3 linked regions of the Drosophila melanogaster genome follow. The protein of the gene in region 2 interacts with the protein of the main gene of each other region in a biochemical or structural test. Each region holds a gene or a part of one and is shown on either strand. Other genes may lie near its edges.

Evidence for each region. Proteins that work in one complex are often made in the same cells at the same time.
Region 1: of the proteins of Art4 (region 2) and SmB, one has a biochemical effect on the other in vitro, tested with the Drosophila melanogaster proteins (one study listed by BioGRID).
Region 3: of the proteins of Art4 (region 2) and sqd, one has a biochemical effect on the other in vitro, tested with the Drosophila melanogaster proteins (one study listed by BioGRID).

The regions. Positions count from the first base shown.
Region 1 is NT_033779.5:10,424,964-10,428,656, forward strand, and holds SmB (small ribonucleoprotein particle protein SmB), read right to left. Parts: upstream 1,665-3,693; 5' UTR 1,534-1,664; coding exon 1,531-1,533; intron 1,162-1,530; coding exon 565-1,161; 3' UTR 520-564; downstream 1-519. Other genes in the region: Wdfy2 (WD repeat and FYVE domain containing 2), read left to right, coding at 29-309; KdelR (KDEL receptor), read left to right, coding at 2,208-2,846. UniProt on the Drosophila melanogaster protein: Plays a role in pre-mRNA splicing as a core component of the spliceosomal U1, U2, U4 and U5 small nuclear ribonucleoproteins (snRNPs), the building blocks of the spliceosome. Involved in germline establishment and development.
Region 2 is NT_033777.3:9,982,308-9,987,800, forward strand, and holds Art4 (arginine methyltransferase 4), read right to left. Parts: upstream 3,754-5,493; 5' UTR 3,373-3,753; coding exon 3,171-3,372; intron 3,109-3,170; coding exon 2,215-3,108; intron 2,161-2,214; coding exon 1,750-2,160; intron 1,692-1,749; coding exon 1,606-1,691; 3' UTR 509-1,605; downstream 1-508. Other genes in the region: Glut4EF (glucose transporter 4 enhancer factor), read left to right, coding at 1-63, 4,341-4,526, 4,590-5,481. UniProt on the Drosophila melanogaster protein: Methylates (mono- and asymmetric dimethylation) the guanidino nitrogens of arginyl residues in proteins. May methylate histone H3 at 'Arg-17' and activate transcription via chromatin remodeling. Coordinates ecdysone-mediated expression of cell death genes.
Region 3 is NT_033777.3:13,643,286-13,648,261, reverse strand, and holds the start of sqd (squid), read left to right. Parts: upstream 1-1,957; 5' UTR 1,958-2,342; coding exon 2,343-2,509; intron 2,510-3,691; exon of another isoform or gene 3,692-3,903; intron 3,904-4,976. UniProt on the Drosophila melanogaster protein: Component of ribonucleosomes. Could be needed to organize a concentration gradient of a dorsalizing morphogen (Dm) originating in the germinal vesicle. At least one of the isoforms is essential in somatic tissues.

The DNA.
Region 1 (3,693 bases), on a different chromosome or scaffold from region 2:
TGTTTTACAAGTAATTTCTGACTGTCAGGAATACGACAGCATCATTGTCGCCACTGCGGCAAAGCCGTGTGCGACAACTGTTCCACCAATCGCATTAACATACCCATAATGGGCTTCGAGTTTGATGTGCGTACCTGTGATCCGTGCTACAAACAACTTCAGACAGTCGAGCGCCCCTCGCTGGCTTCATTCAATGACGCCAAGCATTCGATCGTCTACATGGACCTGGACGAGGACAGAAAGCGCCTGTTGACAGTGGGCCAGGACAGGCTCATCAAGATCTGGGATCTCTCCAACATCTGGGCATAAAACATCCTGTACGCACACGCACGTACCAAAGGTATAATCATTCACGAGGCGTTTCGGTCTTAACTGGAACACCCAATTAACGAACGATGTGGCTGGCAACGACCAAATCCAGTCCCTGCTGCTTAGGTTCTCATATAATTGATGTAAAGCAATAATCATTGTATGTACGTATGCTTACATTCAACACATAAATACACGAATCCATCGATTAAGTGGTGTTTTCTAAATGAGTTTTTATTAGATTGTACTTTATACTTAATAGCCACCCCTGCCCGGTGGTGGTGCTCCACGGATCATGCTGGGCGGCGGTCCGCGCATCGGTGGCGGAGCACCGCGTCCCATGTTTCCTGGCATCGAGGGCATGCCGCCGGGAATCATGCCCGGTGGCGGTGCACCCATCATCGGTGCTCGTGGCACTCCTCGTCCCATCGGAGCCATGTGCTGTTGGGCGGGTCCGCCCACACCTCTCACGGGACCCTGGAGACCCGCTGGCACGGCGGACAAGTTGATAGGCATTCCGCGTCCGGCCACGCGACCGATTCCCGGACCAGGAGCTGCTCCCGGAATGGGAACTCGGGGCAGGCCCTCCTCTGGCGGCGGTGGTCCCTCCACCGTCAGTGAAACTATGTTCTCGCCGCGCAGCAATACAAAGCCCAGCACGCGCTTCTCCTCGCGCTCGGGCACCTTGGAATTCTTCGAGCGAATCTTCCGGAACTCCTCGCAGTCGCCGAGGATCAAGTTCATGTGTTTGTCGAAGGCTTTGAAGGTACCGATGAAGGTACGCGAGTCCTGCAGCACGATTCGCACCCGATAATTCAGGTGCTGAATCATTTTGTTGTTCTTGCCGATCGTCTGAAATAAAGGAATTCAAAGGATTTAATTGTGAAATACAATAGCATGCATAAAAGTCGCGCCATCTTTTGTAAACCATTTCGACCCTTTAAAAAAGCCGGTATTTATAAAAATTTTAATAAACCACAGAGTTTGAAATAGCAAATCTCAGCGTAATATCGAAGATCACTAAAAATCATAATTTTAAACAAATATAAAATAGTTAATTAGCCAAAACAAATTGTTTTATTTATTCGCATGCATGTTTGTATGTATGTATGCCTATGTAAATACGAAATCGCAACCGCGAAAGTAAGAATCTATGAATTAATACAACTAAACAAAACTTAACCATTGCAGTCAGATGCTTAAAACAGTGTTTTTACTTACCATTTTATTTGATTTCTATGTTAATTCTATCGCTTGTAAATAAAATACAGATGCCGGAACCTCACCACGGCTTTTTTCGATAGGCATGAAGAATAAATCGAGTGGCGTGTGCGGCGGTCAGCATTTTCTGGTGTCTTTCAATCGAGCCTATCGAATATAAATTTTTTATTGATAATCCACATGATTTTTTAAACAAACATTCGACTATCCCTAGCAAAAGAAGAGAAAAAAATTAAATTTTTTTTAAATCTTATGATAAAAAACGAAAAAAGAAAAAATTTGAATCAGTATGTTTTTTCTCAATTTTTTTCGTTAGAGATGGTCGAATTTTCATTAAAAAAATCATGTGGCGGCACTTATCGATATCGATAGGCAGTGGCCATGTTATCAAACTTATTCTTATTCATCAGCCACGTCATTGTTTATGCCGACATTCTGACAAGTTTTTTTCCGAAGCGGCAAAGCCCTCACATCTCTACTCGTTGGCAAATTAGGCGAAAAGTCATTTTGGTAACGTATGCAGCTGTTGAAACACTGAATGCCGCCATTATTGCTATAGTATACACTCCCATTTTCATATAGGCGTGCGTTCCGTGACGCAGCCGCAGCGAAAGGAAGTAGAACAATCAAACAGCCAACCGGGCAGCCAAGTAGCCAAGTCGGCGGATTAGATCACGATGAATATCTTTCGCTTTGCTGGGGATCTGTCGCATGTGTTTGCCATCATAATACTGCTGCTGAAGATATGGAAGACCCGCTCGTGCGCCGGAATATCGGGCAAGTCGCAGATCCTGTTCGCCGTGGTCTATCTGACGCGCTACCTGGATCTGTTCACCACCTACGTGAGCCTGTACAACTCGGTGATGAAGGTGTTGTTCCTGGCCACGTCCGGTGCCACCGTGTATTTGATGTACGTGAAGTTTAAGGCCACCTATGACCACAATCACGATTCGTTCCGCATCGAATTCCTGCTGGTGCCGTGCGCCCTGCTCTCGCTGGTGATCAATCATGAGTTTACCGTGATGGAAGTGCTGTGGACATTCTCGATCTATTTGGAATCGGTGGCCATTCTGCCGCAGCTGTTCCTAGTGAGCAGAACCGGCGAGGCCGAGTCCATCACCAGCCACTACCTCTTCGCCCTGGGATCGTACCGTGCACTCTACTTGCTCAACTGGGTCTACCGGTACATGGTCGAGTCGCACTACGACCTTATCGCGATCTTCGCCGGAGTTGTCCAGACCGTCTTGTACTGCGACTTCTTCTACTTATACATTACCAAAGTTCTTAAGGGCAAGAAGCTCCAGCTGCCGGCATAAGCGGATGATGGATAAGTGCATAGATGTGGGACATTTGTGTTTTGTCGGCACACATCATCAATCGACGTCAGAGTAAACAAGCGAGCGATCCACGGCCCGTTTGACAACGCGTATTTCGTTCATATTATACAAAAGATACATAATCGAGGGGAGCGCCTAAGTTGTAATTATTTAATGAGAAATAAACCGAAAATCGAAAGTACACTATAAACTATGCAATACCGACATCGTACATTGAAAATGTAACAAATGTATTAATCTCCGTTTTCCGAACTGCACTCACAAATTTTAGAATCCAAAAATATTAAAAAAAAAAATCATTACTCCAGTAAGAGATAACGTTAATTGACAAAATCGAAACAAATGTTTTCTCTTTTGCGCGGAGGCTTATCTGATTCGCAATAGTATCACAGAAGAGGTCATAGATTTCTTTGTTTAATTAAGAATTTAAAGTTATGCATTAAATAGCTCTTAAGTCGACTGTATCCTAAAAATCCGAGTAAAGTTAAGTCTTATTGTGTGGCTAATAGTAAAGTAAATGATGAGCGATGTCAACATATAATACACATAATATTCTGAAAAATAGGCCGCAGGATCGTAGGAACTCCATGTGCTGTTTTGCACAACTTCTATTGAATTCCGAAAAGATATATTAAATTTCTGCAACACCCTCGTTTCCCCTTGCACGCTTCGCAGTCATGCCAGATGCAAATGGAAAATTTAATTTATATGGAGATCATGTACGAAACAAATACGAACCTAATGTGGCATAAATAATATTTTAAACACTTTTGCAGATATTATATTATAAACAAAGTACAATAAACAACTCGATTTTCTTTTATTT
Region 2 (5,493 bases):
ATGTGTTGGCGTGGTAGACGATCTCAATGGAGTCGTGCGTCACATTAGGAAAACACATTTGGGGTAAGTGTACAAGTGGGAATGGCACTGCTATCAGAGGATTAGGTGGCGAGCAGCAAGTGGGCGGGGCCTTGACTTAGCCACCCGACCTTCTCGTTCCTTCCCCGCCAGCACTTCCACACGCCCGGAGCGGGTGCTGAAGGTGGTGTTGGTGGTGCCTCGAAAGTAGAGCACTCGAGCACAGTAAGCAGGTCACACGAGTGCGGCGTAGCCCCTCTCCAGCACGCAGATTACTTTGCAATGCGCACCTGCAGCAGCAGGCCAGCAATAGCAGCAGTGGGTGGCAGGTGCAGTGGTGGTGGCGCTTTTGAGGCCAAGGTCCAATTCAAAGCGCCCACACACGATCCGCGCTGAGCTTTGACACTTGCCAATCTCGTTTCCTATGTAAATCGAGAGGGGTTCCAAGTGGGGGTGCACAAATAAAAGACGCGGTGGGGCTTTGTTTTTTGCTGCTTTTGCTTTGACATTGTTCTCTCATCTGCATACATGCGGTATATCTATTCGTATATATATATATATATATATAATTGTATATGTTTTGCTTTATATTTATGTTTGCAGTGTATTGGGTGTTGTAGTGTTTTTGTGTTTCTACTTGCTGCTCTATAAAGTACAGTCCGCAAACAGGATACGAATGCGAGAATGTCGGGGTGTGTATAGGTTGGCGTACCTAACGCGTATATCTAGGTGTATATGCTTATATAGCGCTCGGCTTGCTGGCAGCGATATAGTTGGGTCTATGACAGGATCTGGGCTTGGATGCGTAACTTAGGATCGAACGAGGTGTGCCTCCACTGAACTGAATTAATCATAATCGTATTGGGGGTATAAGTATAATCTCTCGACCCAGGTCGGCCTTTAGTAATGATATCGTAGCTTAGCACTAAATCCTATGAGCAATTTCTTACATTTTGAAACGAACTAAACATAAACACGGTCGACAAGTACAAAAATTGAAACTAGCTGGAGGTACACACAATATATAGTATAATAACACACATAATAGATACAGTACAATCTGAATTTGTTGGTTTGTTCAAAGCTTACGGCAAAATCTGCAATTGGCAATCGGCATATTAACTAATAAACTTCCTGAAGCGCAGTCCCGTGCGGGCTAAATATCGGTATTACAATTCACATACGTTAAAAACTCTAATTACTATGGGCTTAAATTAGCTTAGGCTTATTAATATGCTGCGTGTTCTAAACAACTACATTAGTCTGCCTTGATTTGTTGATTGTTTGTATGTTGGTTACTTGCTGGGATGCTGGATTTCCTTCGATTTGTCCGATCGATTAAATGGGTAAGAGAAGGGAGGATAAGTATAGCACGATAGGGAAAGAGGTTGTTAAAAGGTATGCAAAACAGAACAGAACTAACTTTCGAAAATAGATAAAAATATTTTACACTTTTCAATAAATAACCTAATCATAAACTGTAACAAAACAAAAATTGGCAAAATTAGGATCAAGCGTAGAAAGTGAGCGGACTTAGAGCAAAGGGAATTCCCAGAAAGATGTATTGTTATTCGATCCACCGCCCCCCTAGTGCGGATGCATAAGTCCATGAGTGATGTCCATGCCTTCGCCTATTCCGTTCACGCTGATCCCTCCATTTAGCATGCTTGAAGCTATAGAAATTATAATCACATAAGCAATGAGATTATTATATCAAGGATTTGTTCTTACAATTGCGTGATCCTTGCGTGTCCACTTGTGTCCAGTACTGCTCAGATGGACTTTGGGTACTAGTCCCCGGCGGTGCCTGGACCGGGGCCCCCGTGTACCGAAAATACGGATTCTTAAGGTCCAGGGTGTTGCTCGACGAAATCAGCGTGCCTTCGATGTGTAGGTCGATGGTCACGTCATACGACTGCCGCCGATTGGCCTCCAGTAAGACACGGCCGGTCAGCGTCTGGCCCTGCTTAATAAAGATGGGCATGGGCAGAAGGCAGCGAACCTGATACCAATGTGTCAGAGGCGCTGTGGGCGACGTTGAGAGCCACACATTCTGGCTGCTGCCGCTAAACTCCACATCAAACCAAAAGGCCAGCCCATGGCAGATGCCAGTTTGCAGAATGTGAAACTCCAGGGGGATGCCTGCGGAAAGTCAACAGTTGGCCATTGTCGCAAATCACTTTTTCGGGTACTTACTTATCAAATGCAGATCGTCCTCCTTATCGTTGAGAAAGTCGCACACGTGCCGCACCGACTTGGCCATGCATATGCGGATGTCGAAGGTGTCCACAATGGGCTGTCGGAAGTACTCCTTCATGCCCTCTTTGTGCAGCGTGGTAAGGTCAACGCCGTGGAACGCCGACTGGTACCAGAAGTTGGCCTTGTTATATTGTTCCGAGTAGAGCGATTCGTCCGAAAAGGGTGCTATGTGCAAGTCGCCGTGCGTGGGGTACATCTTTCCTTGCGGCTTGAGCCACTTTCTGGCATGCAGATAGGTCTCCAACATGCGCTCGTTGTACAGCATATAGCCCATAGGCTCTGATATGATAACGTCCACTTTCTCGGGCAGCTCGATCTCCTCGATCTTCCCCGGTATCACAGAGATCTTATGCTGCACATTGTTGGACTCAACCAGCTGCTGGGCGTACTGGGCCATGTTGGAAGCCTCAATGGCGTACACTTTGGCAGCTCCCGCCTGCACGGCAAAGAAGGAGAGAATGCCCGAGCCGGCGCCCACATCCAGGACGATCTTGTCCTGAAAATCCACAGCATTGCCTAGAATGGCCCGCTGATACGTGCTTGTCCTTACATAGTCCTGCATCATGTTCTGCTGCTGACTGAGGTAGCCGTAGAACTGGAAGTACTGCGAGGCGGACGACTCCTCAGTGCGCTGCGAGAACACGGACTTGGGTCTCAAGTGCTTCACGTTCTCCACCACTTTGCGGAAGAGCTGCTGGTCCTGCTCGCTGGCAAACCTCAGCACTAGATTGTCGGCGTCCAGGGAAACGGCATAACTCCTTCGTCCCATTTGGGCGGCATCCGTATCGGCGGCTATCATGTACTCCTTGAGCACGTGGCTCCGGTCGTCGTCTGGTGGAGAGATTGGCGATATAAGGAACGGGTTTTATGAAACATTCGATGTCCTCTTTTACCTGACACAACACGGAGGACGACACCCTGGGAATCGTAGCTGCAGAGCAGCGTGCAGCTTCCCTTGTATTTGTTGGTAAACTCTAGCTTCTGCTCGTCGGCAATCGAGCTGATTACCACGCCGCAAAATTGGCAATTGCTCAGCGGCGAAACGGAGGCGGCGGTGGCCAGTTTTCGGGCCTCCTCGGGTCGCAGGCTGGACATGTTGGCTGGCTTTTTGGAGGGTAAAGAGGCAAAGGAACAAAGCAGGACCACAAGCGTCTTTTTTCCCTTGTTAATTGACAATGTAGACCTCGCTATACACACGCACGCACGCACACACACAAACACTCTAGCACACGCACACACACAGATACGCAGATGCAGACAGACAGACGCGCAATTTTTTCTATCTGCAAAATTTTCCACCACACACAAAATGGCTGGTGACTCGGGCAGCTGGATTAATTGGCGCTGGGAACTATATAGTGCGCTGCTTTTCAACTCGGACGATTACTCAAAATCGATCGCTCTTGTTGATTTCGTATTGATTTCACACGGAACATGCGTTCTTTTTTGCAAAAAGTGCTAGAGCTGGAACAAATAGTTGAGGCTAGAGGTGGGACCAAGTCCGATGCTTTTCGATAGGATTATTACCGCGCACTACCTTAAGACTAAGCGATTTTTCAGTCTAGTGAGATTTACAAAAGAATTGTATGCAAGGAAGCTTGCATCAATCTCAATTTCATTTTGAAATATAATTGAAAAAAAATAGTGCGGGGAAAAGAAATGTAAAAAGAAATAATATAGTTTTTTAAGTGGATAGAATCAAGGTTCAGAACTCTGGAACACTTCTAGCAGGGCCTCGAACCTAATGTGGGTGGTCGGCTAGTTGGCAACGCTAGTACAAAAAAGCGGTCGCTTGAAATGGAGAGTAGGTACCTAAATGAGGTACCTTAATAAATATTGACCAAAGTTTAACAGCAATTTTTAGCATTCATTTTAAAATATTTTTCCTATTTGTTTGAATTGAATTAAATCGAATAAACAACGTTAGACAACTTAAGTTCGTTAATTTAAAAGCTATCAATCTGATTTGAAGTAATACCGAACCTAGGTACATAACTGAAGCAAACTTGCCATCACTGACACATCCTTCTAATCAATTTCGCTATTTTTCGGTGGCATTGCAGAAAGGACTCCCATCGCTCCGCGGATGATGACGGAAATGAGGAGGACTTCTACCTCGAGGATGCCGACGACGACGTCGAGCAGGTGAAGCCCACTCTGGCCTCCGAGCCGACTCTGAGTCACCGGGACATGGCGCGTCCGCCGCACGAGGATCCCGAGTACCAGAAGCAGATTGTTGGCAACTTCAAGTGGGTTCTCTTGGTGCACGATATAGATACATTTAATGACATTATCCTTTTTCGATTTTCCAGGCAAGGACGCGGCGGTAGCCACTATAACCATCTAGCGCAGTCGCACGGACGCACCATCAGTGGCAGCAACATCCCGAGCACCCACCAGCAGCAGCTGCAGAACAACAACACCAGCTGCATCCCCACTTCGCACCTAGCCCACCACAACTACACATGCCCGGCGGCGACGGCGACAGTGGGCAGCTACTCCTCCACGGGGACGGGGTCGGTGGCGGCCAGTTCATCAGCCTCGCCGATCGGCAAGCACGCTCGCTCGTCGTCCTCCCGTCCGACCCACTCGGTAGCGCCATATCCATCGCCGACGTACGTCCAGCAACAGCAGCACCACCAACACACGCACCACCACAATTACGCCGGCAGCAGCGGCAGCAGCAACAGCAGCAGCAGCAGCAGTCCAGTGATCCACAGCAATAGCAGTGCCAACAACATGCTGCAGCAGCTGTCGCAGCAGAACGTCACAGTGACGGCGCACCACAGCCAGCAGCAGCAGCAACTGCAGCAGCAGCAACACCACCAGCAGCAGCAGCAACACAGCCACCAACAGCAGCAGCAACATCTCCTGTCCAGTGTGACGATCACGCCCAATTTCCATCCGGCGCAGCAGCAGCACCACCACCAACCGATGCGCGGCCACCAGCAGCAGCATCCACAGACAACTGCCGGCAACATGGTTGCCCAAAACAACAGTAACAACCACAGCAACGGAAGCAATCCGCTGCAGCAGCAACAGCACATGGCGCAACAGGTAGCCGTCAAGCATACGCCCCATTCGCCCGGCAAGAGGACGCGTGGCGAGAACAAAAAGTGCCGCAAGGTGTACGGCATGGAGAAACGCGACCAGTGGTGCACCCAGTGCCGGTGGAAGAAGGCGTGCAGTCGCTTCGGCGACTGAAAGCGACAGAAG
Region 3 (4,976 bases), 3.7 Mb from region 2:
TAACCCTGCACGTGCTCCAGCTTTTATGCCTGCGATCCTGGCTGACTGAACTTTGCACGTGTGTGTGTGTGCGCGAGTAAATGACCTCATACAATTTGGCAAAGAAAAAAAAGAAGCCGCCAAGCGAGGAGCATGAATTAAATTGAGGTTATGTTCGGGTCTCAAGGTTGTGGCGCCGCATACAATGAACTCCAGCTTGGCCAAAATATCAAATTGCTGCCTTGCAAAAACACTTGAAATAGCGTTAAAAGGTGTAAGTAAATATCAATGTTTGCAGGTGTCCTTTGCCCCATTTTAGCCATAAACATTTGCCGATAAAACAAAAAATGCACAATGAGTTGCGGCAAACCCACACGCACACATATTCGGTTATGAACGCGCCGCTCTTTCGGGTTCTCTCTTTCCCACTCTATTTCTGCTTGCGAACCGCGTGTGTAGGAAGAACAAAGAAAGCTATAGTTGAAGAGCAGCATTTAAACAAAAATGTACAAAAACAAAATTTTTCGTACATTTTTAGGTTATGCACAAGCGATAATAAAAAAAGCCGCTAAAATGGTAAAAAAAAAAATTTAAGAGATAGAGCCCTGCCGCAATAATAAAATATACGCCCATTTAGCATTTTTTATGTTGATTTTTTCCTAGTATGCGCCACCCCTTTGAAAATGGAAAATGCTAGTTTTTCTAGACCGCGCACACGAGGCCGTCGCCGGCTCACCTTTTTTAAGCGATATTTTTCCTCGTTTTTATTTTTCCTTTTTGTAATGCACAGTGTGTATTGCTTTTGGGTTGAAGTTTGCCGAAAAATCGGCACTTTTTGTAGCACTTTTCTTTGTTATCTTCCTGCGGGGGGCGGGGAGAGTTGGATTTCTTAGTGGAGCGCTGAAATTATGCGGTTTTTTTAATTTACAAAACGATAGTCGAAACGTATGAAATGCAGTATAAAATTGCAAGCTGCACACAAAACACACAGCCACACACACCAATGCACTCACTCGCTCACACACACACACTAGTCTAGTTTGTTGCAATTCTTTTTGTCTTTTTTTTTGAGAATAACTAACTTGGCAATTCTTGACGTGTATTTTTTGTTGCTTTCTGATGTTTGGCGATCACAGTTGTTGTTGAATTAAGTTACGATGCATATGTTGTGGCTTTTGAGTAGAAAATAATCGCAAACGCAATGAAATTGGACAAGTGTGTTGAATCGAGAAGAGAACCGACGTTCGTTCCTCTTTTCCTCTTTTTTGCCTCTGCACAGTTTTATTCTTGGTTTCGCGTGTGTTGGTGTGTGAATGATGGCGGCTTTTCCAAGGGTGTGCACACACTTCTTTTTTTGGGGTGGTTAATCTAGTATGTTCCATAGAATATTTTGATGAATTTGATATTTTCATATTTGAGCTCAATTAAGCTCATTTTAGGGGCGCTAAGTTTCTTTTAAATAGTTTTATAAAACTTATTTTCATTTTAGCCATTTCCGATTTTTTGAGTAAGCTCATGAAACACCTTTCTTTAAAGGAAACATTTTATATAGCAAATAAATAAAAACCATAATAACGTTATATTATAACCTGTTGGGAAATCCGAATATGAAAATTGTATAAATTTTTGCAAAAAATAAAAATATTTAATATAAACCAATTAAATGATTTAAAATATTGTTGATGTTTCAGCCTATAAGAAGTTAATATGAAAATTCGATTTTAAACAATTCTTTGTATGTAAATGTTGTTTTCGTTCCCAACACATAGTAAATAATGAACATTGTATTTTTTATATTTATAAAATTATAAATGTTTATGAAATACTTAATATTTATTTAAATATTTAAACCTTTAATACAACTAAAATGAATTTATAAACCAAGTAACTTGTCCATTGTGTAAACTGGGCTTTAAAATATTTGTATAAAATTTTTGGTATTCTTTTCATTTTCTCTTCATAGGTGTGTGTACATTGTATAAATCAAAGCTGCCATACTGCAAGCAGACAAGTCACGCGCCCATTTAGCTCCTTATATAGGCTTATTTGGGGTGGTATCGTACAGAAAATCCCAATTTAATCCTTGGCAAATGTATAGCTAACAATCTCCAGGTAGAGCAAGCAAATACAATACAAATATTTACCAAAATAATACCAAATCGACTTGACTGGGAAAACATCAAGGTGGCAACGCCGCACCCATATACACACGCTGTCGTTTGCATTTATCATTTTCCGGTCGTCATTTCATTCGTACGCGCGACTTTTTGGCGAGTGTGTATAAAAATCTCCGGCTCTGCGTAAAAAACGAATATCGTGCTGCCTAGCCCCCGAAATTAGTAGATCAGTCGAAAACACACAAAATGGCCGAGAACAAGCAAGTGGATACAGAAATAAACGGCGAGGATTTCACCAAGGACGTGACTGCCGACGGTCCGGGATCTGAAAATGGTGATGCGGGCGCCGCCGGCTCGACCAACGGCAGTTCGGACAACCAATCGGCCGCATCCGGCCAGCGGGACGACGACAGGTATGTCCATTATCCGGCGGATACGTTTTTTTTTTGTTCTTTTTTATTTTTGCAACGGGCAACCGATGATCATGTGCCCCCCATAGATTTTCTGCTTCTACATAGTGTATATTGCCTACTCTGTTACGTAAATGCAAAGCTAACGTCGTTGGTCGAGTTTCATTGGATTTTACGGGGTTCTGCGGGGGAAGTCTGACCCCTTTTGTGTTCTCTCTCGCTTGCGCTCGTGCGTCGGAGTGTGTTTAAGTGTGTGTGTGTGAGGTGTCGGTGCGACTGTACTTCAGTCATATTAATAGAATCTTCGGGCCAAAATGCATCATCACAGTCTCGGGAGACATGGAAAATTTTCAACGTTTTCCCCTGCACACACACGCACTTTCCGCAATGAAAACCAGAGTTTTCTTAAGCTAGGAGCACATTTTCTCCCCTTTGTGAGGTTATGTTTGTTTCCCACGTTGCCCCACAGACACACTGTGACGCATACGAACACAAATCATACGGTTGCCTTTCACTTGCAAAAAATGTGGCGAAAAAAAACGTTGGAAAAAGTTATGTTTGTATTTGTCAGTGTATTCTTTTTAATTCGCATTACTCTTTGTTTCGGCTATTTCGTTGTTATTTTGTGCTCTTCCAGTTTTGTACCCAAAATGGCGGCTGCATACAGGCATACATACCAACCTAACGCCCGCTGTTCTGTAGGTGTGTGCGTGTTTTGCAGTTTTCACTTATTCTCTTGCTTGCCGGCTTCGCTCGCTCGCCACCTCTTTTGCGCGCTCTTACTCTCAGAGAGCGACAGCCGGCGTTGTTTGGAGTTGCCAAGGCGCCAAAATATTAATTTAACGAACAATTAATGTAAATTATAAATGATAAATAATTTTGATGGATTAAAGCATAGAGATAATGATGATCAAGTAGAATGGTCCTCTTGTTTGCTCCCCTGCGTTTTGGTTTTTAGGTCTAGCGTACACTTCATTTGCCCATCCTTTATGATCATTTTATATCTAAGTTTAATCTTAAGTCACACGATACTGTACATTTAAACGATAATACGAAACCAGCGCTGACGAAGCAGATGCAGATTATTCCCCGTAAAGGAAGAAGGACGAAATGGAGAAATTAAATCGAAAATCATAGCTTATCCTGTTGTCTTGTGAGCGAACTAACCTTGTTCCTCTCCGGCAGGTTTTGAGAGAAGTGAAATGCCCCAGGTCAGGGTTTTAAGCTATGCTCAAGACGGATATGGATTCGGATATGGATTTGGATTCGTATTCCTGCCCCCGGCAAACGGTTACGGATTCGGATTCGGATTCGGCGGACTTATACTTGGAGGATATGCAACCCTCTCCACACTCCAGTCTCCAAAAGTCTCCGCTCCGCCGATACTGATGCTGATGGTATTTATCTATCCAAAACTAAAACAAACAAACAATCAGTCAGTCAGCCAATATATAGAACTATCAACACACAAAATTATCAAGAAATAATCTCGATTTAAAATTGGATCCATATGTAAACTGTATACGAGTATATATTGTATTGTATCTCTTAACGTATAACTTGTAAATTACCTAAAAAAAAAAGAAAAACAAAAAAGTACCAAGTAATCGGAGACAGAGAGAGACCGAGTGAAAAAGAGACTCGCAGTTTTTTCGTTTTGTTTTATGAAGCTCAAAAACTATACATTATATATCGCCCGAAGAAAGAAACACAATGAACGAATGTAACGTAACGAATTGCCACAAAAAAGAAGCACAAATCACTAAATTGCAATCGAAATTCCGCCGCCGTGTGATGAGACTGTTCCAAATTTGCCGGGAATCCGCCGAGAACGATGAGATATCTTTCCAAAAAGTCCAGAAATCAATGAGTAACGTACACATCATAGTAAACTATAAGTGTCTGCATATTTTTTCAACATTCCTTTTTATAAAAAAAAAAAAATATAAAATAAAATAAACAGCCAAATAAAGAAAGTAAAACTAACCACAATCCAGCATAAAAACCTTTGCATTCTTTTCTCTCATCCTATTGAATAAAGACTAATTGTTAATTGTTATTTGTACAGACAAAGACTCTTAAGCATACCCAAAACAAAAACTTAATAATTCACTCTTGCATATCTTATATATACTATATATCTATATCTTTCGCTCGTTTTGTGTCTCTCGATCGATCGCTCGCTCGCTCCTCGAACTCTTTCGCTCATTCCGAGTTTGCAAGTATTTTGACACTATCCGATCAATTCTTTGATTGCAATACAGTAACTAAAGCAATTTTTCACTTCAAATTTGGTGAGTTTTTTTTATTCGTTTTGTATTCTTGCCCAGTCATCAAATTCTTTTGCAGCCAATACGAAAATCAGTAAGAGAAGAAAAAATTTAAAGTAAATTAAGAAAGTATTTGCCTCGCGCATCAAACACAACCTATTTTTCGTGCCTGATTTTCCCAGATAAACCTTTTCCTACCA